3 linked regions of the Arabidopsis thaliana genome follow. The protein of the gene in region 1 interacts with the protein of each later gene in a pairwise test. Each region holds a gene or a part of one and is shown in the gene's direction. Other genes may lie near its edges.

Region 1 (7,733 bases):
TCTTTTTTTTTGATGAATATATAGTTTAAAATAAAAACTAACAAAGACATAAAAAAATGTTTTTCTCCTTTTAATCAAGTATGTATTATTTTATTTGTTCTGGTCATAATCCTAAGTGAGTGTGGTTGGTATTTTGATGAAAATTTAAAATTGTTCATTCCATAATATTTATGTCCAAGTATATATGGACGTAAATCATGTAAGCGATGATGAATCCCAATGTTAGATGACATCAAAGAATTTTGTGACCATAGGCCATATGTGTTGTGTAAATTTTGTGGGTATCTAGAGAAAGCCAACCAACAAACGCTATATGGATACTTTGACAATAAGTTCCATCCATCAGCTGCCAGTTTGTCCAAGTATCAAAATTTCATCCGAAAAGCTGATAAGCCGCCAATCTGCCCCAAGTATCTAGGAAACGACATATTCTAATGCCTAGTTGATGGGAAGAACTTTGGAGGTACACACATCACCTATCTTGAAGCTCATGAAAGCAAGTATTTTAACCTTACTTACTTTTAAATATATATGTCTCTAGCGTGTATAGCATCCCTATGTGGATCAATTTAGAGCACTAGTGAGCATTGTATGCTACCGCATAAGAAAATGCAACTACTGTTAACCATGATGATTACATCCTTATTAACATATATGACACACTGCAAAAGTCACTGGATGCGATCAAGTTAGCAGCGGTATTTTCCATGTGTCAAAAGCATACTAATATACTACAGTCAACCGTATATTGTTCTTTAGTTAAGTTAAGTAAAGACTACTCCTACTAGACAGATATTCGGTTTATGAATCCAAATCAAGTAATTGCTATGAATAGCCGTTCATTTAAGAATGAAGATAAGGGAAGTGAGTTGAAATGTTTCTTTTAACCTCATATCTTTACTTCAACTTATCACACCTTAAAAACTGGATTAGAGTTCCACTTGTCCGATTCATAGAAAAAATCTTGTATCTATCACAAAAATCTTTAACATATGTTTGATTATTTATCCACAAACTAAGCTTTTTAGGTTGAAATATTATATTATTCTAGAAAACTTCAGAACAATCCAAAACAAGTAATACCAAGGGAGCAAATCGTTGGAATTTCCTCACAAGAAAATTCTCTAGCTCATTTGAGAAAATAGGTAGTATTACTTGAAGAACCCCATTCAATAATTGAATTTATGAGCAATTCGGTTGATTTCTACCTTCATTCAAATTCTAGTCAATCTTGTCTTTTTGTTCCAATGGAATTTAATTTGGATTAACCAGAAAAATATGTCTTATACACTATACTTAACAGACTAAAAACCCAAAAATATACGTATGAACTGAAAAAAAACAAAACAAATTCCATGTAGTGAAGATTACACAAAAACTGGTAAACAACAATTATCTGAAAACAAAACTATATAAAAGAATCAGAGACTCTTGTTGAATTTTGCCCAAAAAAAAAAGACTCTTGTTGAAAATAAAATACATGACAACCGGGATTTTTTTTTTCTACAAGTGGAATTTTTATTTATTTTATTTTTAGTTTTATATGTTTTTATTAACCAGATATTAATTTTTATATACATACACACACACACTATATATGAATGTATGTATGCGGAGATATATAAGGAGACAGAGCAATAGATCTGAAAGACTTGTCATCATCTTAATAAACCCGGCGGGAAACGTAAAAAAGCCTTTTAGCTTCTCCCTCCAAAGGATCTGTTTTTTTCCCTTTTTCTCTGATTCTTCTTCCTAAACCCTAATTTCTCCAATCCACGAAATTCCCTAGCAATTTTTTTGGGGGTTTAGTGAAAGAAGGATAGAGAGAGTGAGCAAAGGTGTCTCCTTTACGAAGCCCTGTGCTTTCTCCCTCCGAATAATCTCCATGGCGTGTTTTTCTAACGAAACCCAGATCGAAATTGATGTCCACGATCTAGTGGAAGCTCCGATTCGCTACGATTCTATTGAGAGTATCTACTCTATTCCTTCATCGGCATTGTGCTGTGTTAATGCCGTTGGTTCTCACAGTCTGATGTCTAAGAAGGTTAAGGCCCAGAAGCTTCCGATGATTGAGCAATTCGAGATTGAAGGTAGCGGTGTTAGTGCTAGTGACGATTGTTGTCGTTCGGATGATTATAAGTTGCGGATTCAGCGTCCTGAGATTGTTCGCGTCTACTATCGTCGCCGTAAGAGGCCGCTACGGGAGTGTTTACTAGATCAGGCGGTGGCTGTGAAGACTGAAAGTGTGGAGCTTGATGAAATTGATTGTTTTGAGGAGAAGAAGAGAAGGAAGATTGGTAATTGTGAGTTGGTGAAATCGGGTATGGAGTCGATTGGTTTAAGAAGGTGTAAGGAAAACAATGCGTTTAGTGGGAATAAGCAAAATGGGTCATCCCGAAGGAAGGGGTCTTCTAGCAAGAATCAGGACAAGGCGACTCTGGCTTCTCGTTCAGCTAAGAAATGGGTCAGGTTAGGGTCTACCTATCATCTCTTTAACTGTTGAAATTCATGGACTTTGAAACTGTTGCGCTGTTGTTTTGCACTGATGATTTTCTTAGTTCAGACTTTGAAGACCTTTTATTGTTAGTGGGCAGACTCCTTATGATGGAGTTTTGATGTGGCAGGTTGAGTTATGATGGTGTGGATCCTACAAGTTTCATAGGGCTGCAATGCAAGGCGAGTGTTTTAACTAGACAATTGTCCACTTTAAGCTATTGCATTTTCCACTTTTTTTGTGAATGGGACATCTTAACAATTGGTTGTCGTTTAATCCCTAGGTTTTTTGGCCGCTGGACGCTCTTTGGTATGAAGGTTCCATTGTTGGATATAGTGCAGAGAGAAAGCGTTACACTGTAAGTAATTCTCTACTCTACTTGAGTTATGAGTTGGGTAGTTCTTTGAGCTATGATATATGTAAAAGCTTGTTCCTCTAACCATGATTAAATTCTTCCTTAGGTCAAATATAGGGATGGATGTGATGAGGATATAGTTTTTGATCGTGAAATGATCAAATTTTTGGTTTCTCGTGAAGAGATGGAGCTATTACATCTGAAGTTTTGTACTAGTAATGTGACTGTCGATGGCCGTGATTACGATGAGATGGTTGTATTGGCAGCTACTTTGGACGAATGCCAAGATTTTGAGCCTGGAGACATTGTATGGGCGAAACTAGCTGGTTTGTCTTAAACTGATTTCCACCTTTTATTCATATATTAAAAAAAATACCTCCTTATGCTATCAGCAAGTTGATGCTGTTGGAAGCATGTAGACAAAGAAAACTACCTACTGACTTCCATAGAACTGCATTTGCTTTCCTATTCGGACAGGTCATGCTATGTGGCCAGCAGTTATTGTAGACGAATCCATTATCGGAGAGCGGAAAGGTCTAAACAACAAGGTATCTGGAGGAGGATCACTCTTGGTCCAATTTTTTGGAACTCATGATTTTGCTAGGTTAGTCAGCGTTTCCTATATACTTAAAAAATCTCGTTTTTCTACTGAGATGTTGAGATCAATGTTACACATTATCAAGCTGAAGTTAACATCCTTTGGTTTTATAGAATAAAAGTAAAGCAAGCAATCTCATTTATCAAAGGGCTTCTTTCGCCATCTCACCTGAAGTGCAAACAACCTCGGTTTGAAGAGGGCATGCAGGAAGCAAAAATGCAAGTCCCTCTCGCTTTTCTTTGGCATTCTGCTTTCTTGACTTTCCAGTACATGTTGCATTAACAATTAGACCAATCATTTCTTCATGATGTTTCATTTTGAAACCTGGACATGTTACCTGTCCTGAAATTTCTGTTATTTTGCCTCACTCAGGTATCTGAAGGCACACAGGCTTCCAGAAAGAATGAGTCAACTTCAAAAGGGAGCTGATTCTGTTGATTCCGATATGGCTAATAGTACAGAAGAGGGAAACTCGGGTGGTGATCTTCTTAATGATGGAGAAGTGTGGTTGAGACCAACAGAACATGTAGACTTCCGGCATATAATAGGGGATCTGCTAATAATAAATCTTGGTAAGCCATGAAACTTATATATAAGTATGGTGTATAATCTTTCATTCTATGGTTCATTATTTATAGTTGGTTATAGGAAAACTCCAATGATAATATATAGGCGTATGACTTGTCTTACAGGAAAGGTTGTGACAGACTCTCAGTTTTTCAAGGATGAGAATCATATTTGGCCTGAAGGGTATACGGCGATGAGAAAGTTCACATCACTCACAGGTTATTTGTTAATCAGTTTTTGGCTTTTACTTATAAATCAGGTATTTTTCCATATTTGGTTAATTGTGATTAGTTCTCAATGTGATGTGGGTTGTTGCTTTTGGTTTTAAGCAGATCATAGTGCATCTGCCTTGTACAAGATGGAAGTGCTCAGAGATGCCGAGACAAAGACTCATCCGCTGTTTATAGTGACTGCAGATAGTGGAGAGCAGGTGAGTTAAACATATCTATTAGTATCTGTTTTATTGAACTTTCAGGTCAAGAATCTATCTCTGGCTAACATCGGTAACTAATTTTTTGGCAGTTCAAAGGGCCTACTCCATCGGCCTGCTGGAACAAAATATATAATAGGATAAAAAAGGTCCAGAATTCTGACAGTCCTAATATTTTGGGTGAAGAACTAAATGGATCTGGTACAGACATGTTTGGTCTCTCCAACCCAGAAGTCATTAAACTTGTACAGGTACCTTGTCATTGCATGTAAAATTATTTGTGGTGGTGTGCATGTGTTTTCATGATAATCTGCTTGCACATGCATTTTGGTCTCATAAAAATCATATAATTGTCTGGACACTGAATATTTTGTGGTACCCTTGCTTTTGCTTTATCTCTAAAACGTGTAAGCGGGTCTCATTTATGTTTAATATGAATGTTTGATGCACAAACCAAGTTTTCCTGTAAGACATTTAAGCTTGTGCACTAAATATTTCTATGCAGCTCTTTGCTAATTGGTTTATGGGTAGCCTAATTCGCTATTTCCGGTCTAAAGGCATATTAGAATCACATCTTCATCAATGAGACAACACTAACTTCACCTACGAAATAATCATTTCTGCCTAGTGACTATGGCTTCTTTTCTTTAATTGTTACGGTTTCTTTCTCTTCTGTAAGAAAACTGTATGAATTAAATTAACAGTTATTAATCGAAGCCAGCTTAACAAGTATTTACAGTGAGTTTCTAAGGATAAAATATGTGCATTTGGTCTATTGATTGAAAGAAAATTTGTGTTTAAGTGAAACTAAAGAGTAGAATTCTGTTCTGGAGTCTTTATAGCGAAACTCGTTTTGTAGGACATATTACCTTATATTATTTCATTAGGCAGATACCTATCAAGATGGTTGCTAGAATTTGCAAACTTTTATAATTAATTCCCTATGTACTGCTTGCCGGCGCCCTGTTTTATACAATTGCATTATTGTTTAGCTTCTAGTGTCTACACTTAATATGTGTCTCACCCTAATATACCATTACGTAGCAGGATTTATCAAAATCCAGACCATCGTCCCATGTTTCCATGTGCAAAAATAGTTTGGGAAGGCATCAAAATCAGCCTACTGGTTACCGACCTGTCCGTGTTGACTGGAAAGATCTCGATAAGTGCAATGTCTGCCACATGGATGAGGTAAAGGTTTTTTTTTTGTTTCACATGAGATTTCAAACGTTTCTCTTTAGTTAGTTCTGATTTATATATTTTTTGTCTGCAGGAGTATGAGAACAATTTGTTCCTGCAATGTGATAAATGTAGAATGATGGTATAGCTCATGCTCTGGGCTTTTTTAGCTATCATATACCTCTTAGATGTATATCTTTAGTGCCTTGTGCTCTTTCTTTCTCTTGGGTATGACTCAATTTGAATTCCTGGTCCACTACTAGGTCCATGCTAAATGCTATGGAGAGCTAGAACCCTGTGATGGTGCTTTGTGGTTATGCAACTTATGTCGTCCTGGTGCTCCTGATATGCCTCCACGGTGTTGTCTTTGTCCTGTAGTAGGTAATTTTACCGTACCATTTGGTGTATGGAGTCTATATGTGCTTTCATTAGTGAATAATTGAAACTTCTTTTAGGGGGTGCTATGAAGCCGACAACTGATGGTCGCTGGGCTCATCTGGCTTGTGCTATATGGATCCCAGGTTCAATCTTAACGATTTGTTGTTCTGTATAAGTCTGCTTTCCTACTAATAGGAGGCCGTATTACACTATTACTTTCCTATTTACAAATTAACACTTGTTATTTTATTCAGAAACATGTTTATCTGATGTCAAGAAGATGGAACCTATTGATGGGGTGAATAAAGTCAGCAAGGTACGTACTTATTTTCTTGTTCGGATTCCTTTACCTTGGTACTGTGGCCTTTTCAAAACTCTTATCCCTCTTCCTCTTTTTCTCTACTCTTAAAACTAGGATCGTTGGAAATTAATGTGCACCATCTGCGGGGTATCTTATGGAGCTTGTATCCAAGTAAGATTTCGTTCTATGTTAAGAGAAAACTGAATCATTCTTATGCATTGTTCAAGAGCTGATATATATAATTTTAAAATGACTACATTTCAGTGTTCAAACAATTCTTGTCGCGTGGCATATCATCCACTCTGCGCGCGAGCTGCTGGTCTCTGTGTTGAGGTACCTTAGGGAATAAAAAAAATTTCTTTCCCACTTACACACATGTACTCTAACACAGCAAGTCCACAAAAGAGATGTTTCTAACTGATTATTGCTTTCCTGACTCTCCATGTAGCTTGAGAATGACATGTCAGTGGAGGGTGAAGAAGCAGATCAGTGTATCCGCATGCTTTCATTCTGCAAGCGACATCGACAAACATCAACTGCCTGCCTAGGATCAGAAGACAGGATCAAATCCGCTACTCATAAAACTTCTGAGTATCTCCCACCACCTAATCCATCTGGCTGTGCTCGGACAGGTATGCAGCTACTGCGTTTATCTGTGGATGCTAAGATTAAAATTTAGATTCACACCACACTTTTGGGACAGGATTATTTCATCATTATTCTTTTACCTTGCATACGGCCATGTGTGTTTTGTTCTCTTTCATATTCTTACATATCCTCTTAAGATATCAGTTTCTTACTTTATATACAAGCATTTTTTAGATTTGATACAAAGGTCAAATTTCAGGCTTTTGTGTTTCCATTCTTTTCTACTTTTATTCGTGTTTGCATCCTATGGGTCAGTATAGATGATAATTTCCGTCTATTGTTGCAGAGCCTTATAATTGTTTTGGCAGAAGAGGGCGAAAGGAACCTGAAGCTCTTGCTGCTGCTTCTTCAAAGCGGTTATTTGTTGAGAATCAGCCATATGTTATTGGTGGTTACTCTAGACTTGAGTTTTCAACGTACAAAAGCATTCACGGATCCAAGGTGTCACAGATGAATACTCCAAGCAACATTCTTTCTATGGCTGAGAAATATAGATACATGAGGGAAACATACAGGAAGAGATTAGCATTTGGTAAGCATTCGTTATTCTTTAACTTTCAGTAAATCTTAAAAGATATTACAGGTCTTTTCAACTTCTGCTAAGATAAAAAATATAGTAGGATTTCTGTAGGATAAAAATAATTTGTAGGATTCCTTTCAGAATGATCTAGTCACATCCTAAGCTTCTTTCAGAAAAATCTTATAAAAGTTGGTTCTTTTTTTGTTTCAGGGAAATCAGGAATTCATGGTTTTGGCATTTTTGCAAAGCTTCCTCACAGGGCG
Region 2 (6,034 bases), on another chromosome or scaffold:
TTGAGAAATATTAGTAGCCAGGGTTCGATATGTGTACTCCCAAACGGAATGGAGAGCCGATATCTTGATGTGTCGGGTAATATCTATGCATTCGGGATTCTTTTGCTGGAAATTGTCAGTGGAAGACCTCCTTATTGCAAAGACAAAGGATTCTTAATTGAATGGGTAAGACAAAAACAACTCAGTTTCTCTAAACACTTGAAACTGAGTTACTTCCTCCTCCTCTTTTTTCACCATTTATATCAAAAACTTTGTTACTGTTAGCCTAGTAGGAATGGAGTCGTCTGTTCAGGGAGAGACGAGTTTTCGTCTGGATGTGGAAGTCTTGACCTTGTTCACATGTTTAGTTATATCGCACCTCAAATGTGGTTTTTGTGGCAAAAGTTTTGAATTTGAAACGTATCTATTGCATTTTGCAGGCAAAGGAGTTCCTTGAAGCACCAGAGGCAATGTCGGGATTGGTGGATCCAGAGCTGAAACATTTTAACCAAGAAGATCTTGAGACGGTATGCGAAGTGGCTAGCCAATGCTTGAACCGGGACCCAACCAACAACAACAACAATCACAACAAGCCCTCAGTGCAAGAGCTATGCGAGACATTGGAGAGCAGAATCAGTCTGTCTATTTCAGCGGAGCTTAGATCATCTTCTTTGGCTTGGGCCGAGCTGGCGCTTGACTCGTGATGAGAATGATGAAAGGAAAGAAAACGAGTGTTGAATGATGCAATGCTAACTAACTAAAAACCAAACTCTCAACTCTGTAAATCAATCGACTGATTACAACATTTGATATTGTTTTTTTTTGCTCTGATCTTGACGAGTGTGTCTGTGTTCTTGATTAGTTTTGAGTTTTGGGTGGTTCAAAGTGTTTGTAAATGAAGAGATGAACATAGTTTCTGAAAGATTTTCTCTATTATTTGAAAATCTATGAGAGGTTGAAGAATGTTAATGTAGTGTGTTTGGATCTAACCTTTAATCTTATATTATATAGAGCATTGTATCTATTGTTTGACATGATTAGTCTCATTGGAAAAAGCTTCAAGGCAATCAATTTGAGATCAATATCAGTCTCAGACAAGTGTTTGCGGACCAAGAAGAAGAAGAAACGTAGTTGAAGTTCATAAATCATAATGCATGGATCAACTTAATAAAAGGCCCACATTTAGCCTCGTATCAGTCTAAATGGGCCACACAAGTCAATAGGCCCATTTATCAATGCTTTGACTGTTTTCAATCTTCAATTTTGGTATGACTTCTTCTTACGAGGTTGAGTGCCATAAAAGATTAGACAGACACGTAAAATAGATTCCATTTTACCTTTAGTTAAAACAGATATGGATTAGCCAAGTTTCGTTAGTATATTGTCATATTATTTTATTGAAACAGAAAAAAACAAGTAAAGATTACTTAATCATTCTTAATCAGGCCTGTTCTTAATTATCAAAAAAAAAAAAAGATTACTTCATCATGTCGTAATAATATCACTAATCAATCCTTTTTTTTTTGTCATCACTAATCAATCCATTTTTTTAGCGAACCTTAAAGTCAAAGGTGTTGTTACTTTGGACGATTAAATTTGAATTATATAATTTAAAAGAAAATTGGAATTTAATCTGTTGAGGTTGAAATTCTCTCTTTTTATATATGGCGGTTGAAATTTAAAAGTAAAGTATTGTTTGGTAGGGCCCTATAGTTTAAACATTTACAAATCGGCCCACACATTTTTGTCATTTTAGATGTCGTAAACCGCTTTCCCTCGTCTTCGTTCCAATTTAAAAAGCAAAACAATTTCAAAAAGTCTCATCATTTCCCATAAACCTAAAAGCTTTTTAAAAACTCAAATTCGATACGAGAAGAACAAGATTCGCGCACAAGACGATCGATTACATGGCGACGAAGCTTTTGTCGCTTACATGCATAAGGAAAGAGAGATTCAGCGAGCGTTACCCTCTGGTGCGGAAGCACCTTACCAGGTCTCGCGACGGCGGCGGAGGATCATCGTCGGAGACGGCGGCTTTTGAGATCGATGATCCGATTTCCAGGGCGGTTTTTCAAGTGTTAGGAATGACTTGCTCTGCTTGCGCTGGATCTGTTGAAAAGGCTATCAAGCGTCTCCCTGGAATTCACGATGCTGTCATCGATGCTCTGAATAATCGTGCTCAGATTCTGTTTTACCCTAACTCTGTCGATGTAAGCTATGATATTCTCTCGAATCTCGGTTGAATTGTTTCTGAGAAGACTTGATTTGGGATTTAGGTTTTCTTTTTCTGTGTAATTGTGGATTTATAGGTGGAGACAATTCGTGAGACTATTGAGGATGCTGGATTTGAAGCATCGTTGATCGAAAATGAAGCGAATGAGAGGTCGAGACAAGTTTGTAGAATAAGAATTAATGGTATGACTTGTACTTCGTGTTCTTCAACAATCGAAAGAGTTTTGCAATCGGTTAATGGTGTACAAAGAGCACATGTGGCTTTAGCAATTGAAGAAGCTGAGATTCATTATGATCCTAGACTCTCGAGCTATGATAGACTATTGGAGGAGATAGAAAATGCTGGTTTTGAAGCTGTGCTTATAAGTACAGGCGAGGATGTGAGCAAGATTGATTTGAAGATTGATGGTGAGCTTACTGATGAATCCATGAAGGTTATTGAAAGGTCGCTTGAAGCACTTCCTGGTGTTCAAAGTGTTGAGATCAGCCATGGAACTGATAAGATATCTGTATTGTACAAACCTGATGTGACGGGGCCGAGGAATTTCATTCAGGTGATTGAGTCTACTGTCTTTGGTCATAGTGGTCACATCAAGGCAACAATATTCTCAGAGGGAGGGGTAGGCAGAGAATCTCAAAAGCAAGGGGAGATTAAGCAGTATTATAAGTCGTTTCTCTGGAGTTTGGTTTTTACAGTACCGGTGTTTTTGACAGCCATGGTCTTTATGTATATCCCTGGAATTAAAGATTTGCTCATGTTTAAGGTCATCAATATGCTCACCGTTGGAGAAATCATAAGGTGTGTTTTGGCTACTCCTGTCCAGTTTGTCATTGGTTGGAGATTTTATACTGGCTCTTACAAGGCTTTACGCCGAGGATCGGCTAATATGGATGTTCTGATTGCTCTGGGGACAAATGCAGCTTATTTCTATTCATTATACACAGTGTTGAGAGCTGCAACATCTCCTGATTTCAAGGGAGTAGATTTCTTTGAGACTAGTGCCATGCTCATTTCCTTTATCATACTAGGAAAATATTTGGAGGTTATGGCTAAAGGAAAAACATCTCAAGCGATCGCAAAGCTTATGAACTTGGCACCCGACACTGCGATATTGTTGAGTTTGGACAAGGAAGGGAATGTGACTGGTGAAGAGGAGATTGATGGTCGATTGATACAGAAGAATGACGTGATCAAAATTGTTCCTGGTGCTAAAGTAGCTTCAGATGGTTATGTCATATGGGGACAAAGTCATGTGAATGAAAGTATGATCACTGGAGAGGCTAGGCCAGTGGCAAAGAGAAAGGGTGATACAGTTATAGGAGGCACTTTGAACGAGAATGGTGTTCTGCATGTTAAGGTTACAAGGGTTGGTTCAGAGAGTGCTCTTGCTCAGATTGTTCGACTTGTTGAGTCCGCACAACTGGCCAAAGCTCCAGTACAGAAGTTGGCTGATCGGATTTCCAAGTTCTTTGTTCCTCTTGTGAGTAATCTGACCAGTTGATAAACAAATTATTTAGTCTTTTAGAGGCACAACTATTTTTTAAACTCACTGGATTATAATGTTGAAGGTAATTTTCCTCTCGTTCTCAACTTGGCTTGCCTGGTTCTTAGCTGGGAAACTGCATTGGTACCCTGAATCCTGGATACCTTCTTCGATGGATAGCTTTGAGCTAGCTCTTCAGTTCGGGATCTCTGTCATGGTCATAGCTTGTCCATGTGCTCTTGGGCTGGCTACTCCAACTGCTGTTATGGTTGGTACTGGGGTTGGTGCATCCCAAGGTGTGCTGATAAAGGGTGGCCAAGCCCTAGAAAGAGCACACAAGGTTAGTTTAGTGTGCAGTAACTTGGTCTATGGCTTTGTAAACTTACTATACTGTATATACTTTACTCAGGTTCTCTGGATCATTTCTTTTCTGAAATGGTGAAACCTGACAGTTTCAATGACGGTGTAGGTAAATTGCATTGTCTTTGACAAGACAGGAACTCTCACGATGGGGAAGCCCGTTGTTGTGAAAACAAAGCTCCTGAAAAACATGGTACTTCGAGAGTTCTATGAACTTGTTGCTGCAACTGAGGTAAACTTTTGGAAACTCCTGGCCTACATCAAAAGTAATATTACTATGTTGATGCTATTTTGTTTATCAGGTAAACAGTGAGCATCCGTTAGCAAAGGCCATTGTCGAGTACGCGAAGAAATTCAGAGACGACGAAGAGAACCCTGCCTGGCCAGAAGCCTGTGATTTTGTGTCCATCACTGGAAAGGGAGTGAAAGCCACCGTTAAAGGTAGAGAGATTATGGTGGGGAACAAGAATCTGATGAATGATCATAAAGTTATTATTCCAGATGATGCTGAAGAGTTGCTAGCTGACTCTGAAGATATGGCCCAGACCGGAATTCTTGTCTCCATAAACAGTGAACTGATTGGAGTTTTGTCTGTTTCGGATCCTCTAAAACCGAGTGCTCGAGAAGCCATCTCCATTCTAAAATCCATGAATATCAAAAGCATCATGGTAACTGGTGACAACTGGGGAACAGCAAACTCAATTGCTAGAGAAGTCGGTATCGACTCTGTTATCGCAGAAGCTAAACCTGAGCAAAAAGCAGAGAAAGTCAAGGAATTACAGGTACTTGAGTAAAAGCTCCACACTAAATGTTAAAAAGTTCACATATATGGAATTGATAAAAGCAATGAATATATATTGCAGGCTGCGGGACATGTTGTGGCAATGGTAGGTGACGGAATCAATGACTCACCGGCTCTCGTGGCAGCGGATGTAGGTATGGCGATAGGTGCAGGAACAGACATTGCTATAGAAGCAGCGGATATAGTTCTGATGAAAAGCAACTTAGAAGATGTGATCACAGCCATTGATCTTTCAAGGAAAACGTTCTCAAGAATCCGTCTCAACTACGTATGGGCTCTCGGGTATAACCTCATGGGGATACCGATCGCTGCGGGAGTGCTTTTCCCAGGGACACGTTTCAGGTTGCCTCCATGGATTGCAGGTGCTGCAATGGCTGCTTCTTCTGTTAGTGTTGTGTGTTGCTCTCTCTTGCTTAAGAACTACAAGCGACCTAAGAAGCTTGATCATCTGGAGATTCGGGAGATTCAGGTGGAGCGAGTTTAAAAAATTGAACTAAACCGAGTACCGGTTATTGAATTTGATGAACCAATAAACAAACCGTACAGTAAGTTTCCACTCCTTATCTAGAATTTAAGTCCATGAACTAATAATTGATTTACTTTGCCTCCATATTTTCGTTGCTTCCCTTTTTCCTATTTGGAAAAGGAAAATATTTGCCTTATTATAAGACAAGAGCAGAGAGGACACAAATAAAGATAAGAAGATTAGGATTATACTTTGAAACGTGATAATGAGAACTAGACATGGCAGCAAAAGGACAAAGATAGAGAAGGAGTCTCGAGTAAGTCAAGTAACGTCGGAGACAAGAAGAGATTGCCTGTGAAGTCCGTAGCTAAGTTTCTCGTTGTATCCAAGTTATTGGCAACAATTATCCGCAGTCGATATTTCATTAGATCGTTTCCCTTTAGGTCTTCGCTTCAGCCACATATACTCTTTGCATTCAAATATTTAGATAACCAAAACGGACGCCAGATTTGTAACTTCTTCACGTATTCCTCGACATCAACCAAGAATCTACCGTATTATTTATCTCTTAGTGCGACATGCTCAATCCCGAGTCCGTATTGCCGCAGGATCAATAATGTTCCTTATTACGTTAATGGTTTGATAAGTCTTGGATGTGGACGAGAACAATTTATATGCAACCCTAGCACAAGTAAGTACATACCTTTACCC
Region 3 (4,693 bases), on another chromosome or scaffold:
TTACGGCGAGAGGTGGAAGAAGAAGGAGGAGGAGGACGGTGAGGTTTGCTGAGAGCATCGTCTTCGAGGATGGACGCAGCGGTAGCAGTTGTGGCAGTGGAGTAGCTGTGAGAGACAGAGACGCTGCAAATGTCGGACTTGCTGTGAGAGATCTCCGGAGCTGGAGGTGAGAGAGGAAGAGGAACTTGAGCTTCTGAATCTGAGACTGTTGGTGCGGAAGGAACGAGGTCGGGGACTGGGACAGGGACGGAGATGGGTATGGGGACGGAGACAGAGACTGATTGAACAACGACTTCTTTGACGGATTCTTCTTCGAGGGGTGGAGGAATTTGAGCGGCGGCGACTGGTGGAGCTGTGACTTTTCCGGCGCTGAAGCAGCATCCCATTTTCTTTCTACTTTTGCTAATTCCTCTCTCTCTCTCACTCTGCTCTCTCGAGAGTCGCGAGTCATATACTTGTCAACTTTAATGGGCCTCTTTCTCATGTTGGCCCATATTCACTATGGGCTCGATTATGCTCTTTTGTTTTATCCACTTTGATAAAGAATCTGATATTTGTCTCATTCATTCATATCTTCAAAGACAAAACGCTAGTGTTTGATTTTCTTTAAAATATTCAAAAGAAAATTATGCGGATGGACAAATATCTCGTTAGATAGCGACCCATCATCGTTGGGATAATTTCAACACACAACTGCCGATTGCCTTGGACAGGGACACCGGACATGTAACGACAGTAAGTAAAATGCTTAATACTTATACTACCAACATCTTCCTTTTGGTCGTCAAAAATGTAGTTGAAGATAAGAACTGACCATCATTTTTTAGCTCATCATCCATCCACTATGTTGCATTTACCTCATTGTTGAATAAGAACGCGTTGAGCAAGCTACTTTTTCATCTTTAGTTGGTTTTGTGTTAAATAAAACTTGAAGTGGAAAGAACCTAACATCGTTGCTGCAAACTTGATATTCGAATATTTATAACCACCATCTTAAAAACAAAAACAAAATATGAGAAGTTTAAAAACATGACAAAACTTTGAGTAGAAATCAGAAAGGGGCCAAGGCTCGTAAACTTCTAAACCCCAAGCCCATAATAAATGTTTTGAATCCATAAGTTCACTCCCATCCGCTACTCTTTTTTTCAGTTTCTTGGGAACAACTAGGAGGAAAGAGAGTTTTTAAAGTTCAAAGTAAAGATGTTGTTATACAAAAATTGTGTTGACAACTTATTCATATTCATGTCTCTGTAAAGATGTTGACATAATTATTTCACTTTCTTCAAAAAAAAAAACTGGCGACATTTTCTTTAATTCTCATTTATCCATTATGTACTTTTTGTTTTTGTTTTGCAACCCATCCATTGTGTATGTACTTAAGATAACAACAACAACAAATATACCATATATAAATCATATGGTCTACATACAACACTAGTATCCTCATCCGTATTAAAAAAATGAGTTCCTCGAACACATATAGCTACAAATATAGAGATATGACTTTGGGGTTTGAGCGCATTGCAGAATACCTAACAGGCATAGATGTCAATGACGTCGTCGTCATGTACTTGGTTACTAGTTGTTTTATAGACAACTAGTTGATTAAACCTTTTCTTTTAACAATTAAACAAACCAACCTTTATATATTTCTTCAACTTTTATTTTATATAAAAAAATAGCCAATAGGTGTGGTGGTGAAATGACTCGGTAACCAATGAATCCTGGTGAAAGGGAAGAGCCAAGAATTTGCAGAACCTCAAAGGAAAAAAAAAGGACCTTTGAAAATTACAAAATCAAGAACTTCTTGAAAAGAAGTAAGTACAAGAAATAGAAAAAGGAGTTATGACATTATAAAACCAAAGAGGAACCTGAAACAATTGACACAACCCTATTCCTCAACTTCTTCTCTCTTATGTCTTATCAAAAGCCTCTCACCCACCGCCTCTGTTCCTGCTCCTCTTATCAACCATAGAAATTCTCTCTCTCTTCCCTATATACAATACAATGTTATGTAGGTGATACATACTATAACATAGTTGTATATAAACATTAATATAATGGAGAGGTCCCATGCCCCCACGAGTTTTGTTTTGTTGGCCAGCTAATTCGCATCCTTTTTGTTTTGTTTGTATAAGAGAGTTTCTTTGTTACTTACTATAACCACAAGACCACAAGAAGGCCAAAGAGAGGCTAAACTAAAAGAGCTCTCTTTCTAATTTATTTCTCTCTCTTCTCTTCTCCCGAAAAGCCCTTAATAAGCTTTTGCTTTGATATCAGATCTCTCTTACGGCTTTTGAGATGCGTGCTCCTTTAGGGCTTTCCTTTTATACCCCAAAACGAGGCCTTTCCTTCTTCTCTCATCTCCTAATTCTACCCTCTTCCTCTTCCTCTTCCTTCTCTCTCTCTTCTCATTCTCCTCATACGCTATAAGGAGAAAATCTCAGAGAGAGAGTGATGGCGAACAATGAGGGAGAGATGCAATGTGGGTCCATGTTGTTTAAGCAAGAGGAGCTACAAGAGATGAGTGGGGTCAATGTTGGTGGCGATTACGTTGAGGTCATGTGTGGTTGTACCAGTCACCGATACGGCGATGCTGTTGCTAGACTTAGGGTTTTCCCCACCGGTGACCTTGAAATCACCTGCGAATGCACACCTGGTTGCGATGAAGGTCTCTCTTTTTTTGTCTCTACTGTCTCTTTCTCGTGTCTTTCTGATGCTTTTGGGAAAATGGGTTTTGATTTGTGTGCATGTTACATGTGAATGTGTGTGAGATTAAACGTTTGTCTCTGTCTAGCTACTATCACATTGGGCTGGTAAAGCTAGGGTCTTTAGCATGATTACATATTTATCAATGAGTCTTAGTGTATGCTAGCTAGATCCGTTCTTGTAGAAAATGAAATGACTTGATTTGCCACAGTAATGTTTTAGGCTGTCTGTTTATCTGTAAATGGTAATGCGTCTCTTTGTTACTGGCCAAGTGGTAGCTTTATTGACAAATGATATGTCTCGCTTAGCTGTACGTGTATGTCAAAGTTTGATGCAACCTAGTTCTTGTGGTATCTTGTAGCTAACAATTCCATCTCTAGCTTATTTGGTATAGATGCTCATTTAGAGCTCTCTTTGAAAGTAAAAGTGACTGACTTGAACAGTTTTGATTGTATGATGCTAGACAAGTTGACACCAGCTGCATTCGAGAAGCATTCTGGAAGAGAAACGGCAAGGAAGTGGAAAAACAATGTGTGGGTTATCATTGGGGGCGAAAAGGTTCCATTGTCAAAGACAGTATTGCTCAAGTACTACAATGAATCATCAAAGAAGTGCAGTAGATCAAACAGATCACAAGGTGCCAAAGTTTGCCATAGAGATGAGTTTGTTGGGTGTAACGATTGTGGTAAAGAGAGGAGGTTCAGGCTGAGGAGCAGAGACGAATGCCGCTTGCACCACAATGCAATGGGTGATCCAAACTGGAAATGCTCAGATTTCCCATACGACAAGTAGGTGTCTTTTGTTGTCCTTGTATGTACTTAAGTTTGATGCAAATGATGTATTATATCAATGAATGGTGTGGTGGTCGTAGGATAACATGTGAGGAGGAAGAAGAGAGAGGGAGCAGGAAGGTGTACAGAGGGTGCACACGTTCACCTAGTTGCAAAGGCTGCACTTCCTGCGTCTGTTTTGGCTGCGAGTTATGCCGTTTCTCTGAGTGTACTTGCCAGACTTGTGTCGACTTCACCAGCAATGTCAAAGCTTGAAGAAGGCAGTCCATTAAGAAAAGAAAAAAAAATGTCTGTCTCAGACTTTGTTCGTTGCATTTAATAACTTATTCTAAAACTCCAAACAGTTAATTATCTTATCTATGGGTTGTGAATGGAGCAATTGAAAAAAAAGTAGAAAAAGTTGATTTCCAAGAAGAACATGCAGACGAGCATGCCTGAGTTTAGTGCATGTCTAGATTTTTGGCTAGTGGCAGGGAAAAGTGTTATTAATAGTTTGTTGTTACTCTTTATTTTATTAGCTGTTGACAGCTTTGTGAGACGAAGTTGTCAATGGCACAGCTACTCGGTCTGTGATTTAGCCATTTAGGAGATGGGACATGGAAAGAGACATTTTCTTAATACCCAAAAAGCCCTGACGTCTTGTTTTGAACACAGTAACCATATGGGATCCCTTAAGTGATGTATACTTTTATTATCAACAACAAACATTAGAATCATAAAGACCAAGTCGTCACCAGGTAAAGAGGATACGAGAATAAATTCATCAGAAACATGTGAAACATGTGAAACGTGAAACCAAAGACGTAGAGGCATGTATGAACTTCAACATGTTTTTGTATCAAAAAAGTGTTTTAGAGTATAACTAGACTCATAAAGTAGTACATCGACTCCTGTTCTGTTACAACCAAAATTCATATCTTAAGGATCACATAACTGAAACCTGCATCCACAAATACGAGGCAAACATAGTGTTTCCTTCATCATACATACTAGACTACCTATAAATCAGAGATCAAACTATGAAATCCGCGGATTCATTCAGAGTCTTTCTCGCACGCCAATACACTCCATTGGCTGTCTCTGATGTTCCCAGCTGCAATAAACATCAGAAAGATTGTCAGTTAGCATACTTGACACTAAGTCATAGTATTGGTTTTGGTCAGGGTATTAAGAATCCACTTTACCTTTGTCTC

Evidence for each region.
Region 2: the proteins of ATX1 (region 1) and HMA5 interact in a two-hybrid assay, tested with the Arabidopsis thaliana proteins (one study listed by BioGRID).
Region 3: the proteins of ATX1 (region 1) and ULT1 interact in a protein complementation assay, tested with the Arabidopsis thaliana proteins (one study listed by BioGRID).

The regions. Positions count from the first base shown.
Region 1 is NC_003071.7:13,456,334-13,464,066, reverse strand, and holds the start of ATX1 (homologue of trithorax), read left to right. Parts: upstream 1-1,635; 5' UTR 1,636-1,885; coding exon 1,886-2,469; intron 2,470-2,624; coding exon 2,625-2,676; intron 2,677-2,777; coding exon 2,778-2,852; intron 2,853-2,955; coding exon 2,956-3,175; intron 3,176-3,326; coding exon 3,327-3,453; intron 3,454-3,560; coding exon 3,561-3,665; intron 3,666-3,819; coding exon 3,820-4,019; intron 4,020-4,139; coding exon 4,140-4,232; intron 4,233-4,346; coding exon 4,347-4,444; intron 4,445-4,536; coding exon 4,537-4,695; intron 4,696-5,491; coding exon 5,492-5,635; intron 5,636-5,717; coding exon 5,718-5,765; intron 5,766-5,886; coding exon 5,887-6,004; intron 6,005-6,078; coding exon 6,079-6,144; intron 6,145-6,255; coding exon 6,256-6,317; intron 6,318-6,416; coding exon 6,417-6,473; intron 6,474-6,566; coding exon 6,567-6,635; intron 6,636-6,750; coding exon 6,751-6,934; intron 6,935-7,236; coding exon 7,237-7,482; intron 7,483-7,680; and 1 more.
Region 2 is NC_003070.9:23,525,769-23,531,802, forward strand, and holds HMA5 (heavy metal atpase 5), read left to right. Parts: upstream 1-1,801; 5' UTR 1,802-1,886; coding exon 1,887-2,189; intron 2,190-2,288; coding exon 2,289-3,692; intron 3,693-3,780; coding exon 3,781-4,035; intron 4,036-4,164; coding exon 4,165-4,287; intron 4,288-4,357; coding exon 4,358-4,837; intron 4,838-4,918; coding exon 4,919-5,341; 3' UTR 5,342-5,458; downstream 5,459-6,034. Other genes in the region: AT1G63430 (Leucine-rich repeat protein kinase family protein), read left to right, coding at 1-165, 348-683. UniProt on the Arabidopsis thaliana protein: Involved in copper import into the cell. May play a role in copper detoxification in roots.
Region 3 is NC_003075.7:13,983,296-13,987,988, forward strand, and holds ULT1 (Developmental regulator, ULTRAPETALA), read left to right. Parts: upstream 1-1,727; 5' UTR 1,728-2,457; coding exon 2,458-2,744; intron 2,745-3,152; coding exon 3,153-3,497; intron 3,498-3,580; coding exon 3,581-3,755; 3' UTR 3,756-4,147; downstream 4,148-4,693. Other genes in the region: AT4G28180 (uncharacterized protein), read right to left, coding at 1-386; AT4G28200 (U3 small nucleolar RNA-associated-like protein), read right to left, coding at 4,513-4,593, 4,685-4,693. UniProt on the Arabidopsis thaliana protein: Putative transcription factor that acts as a key negative regulator of cell accumulation in shoot and floral meristems. Negatively regulates the size of the WUSCHEL (WUS)-expressing organizing center in inflorescence meristems.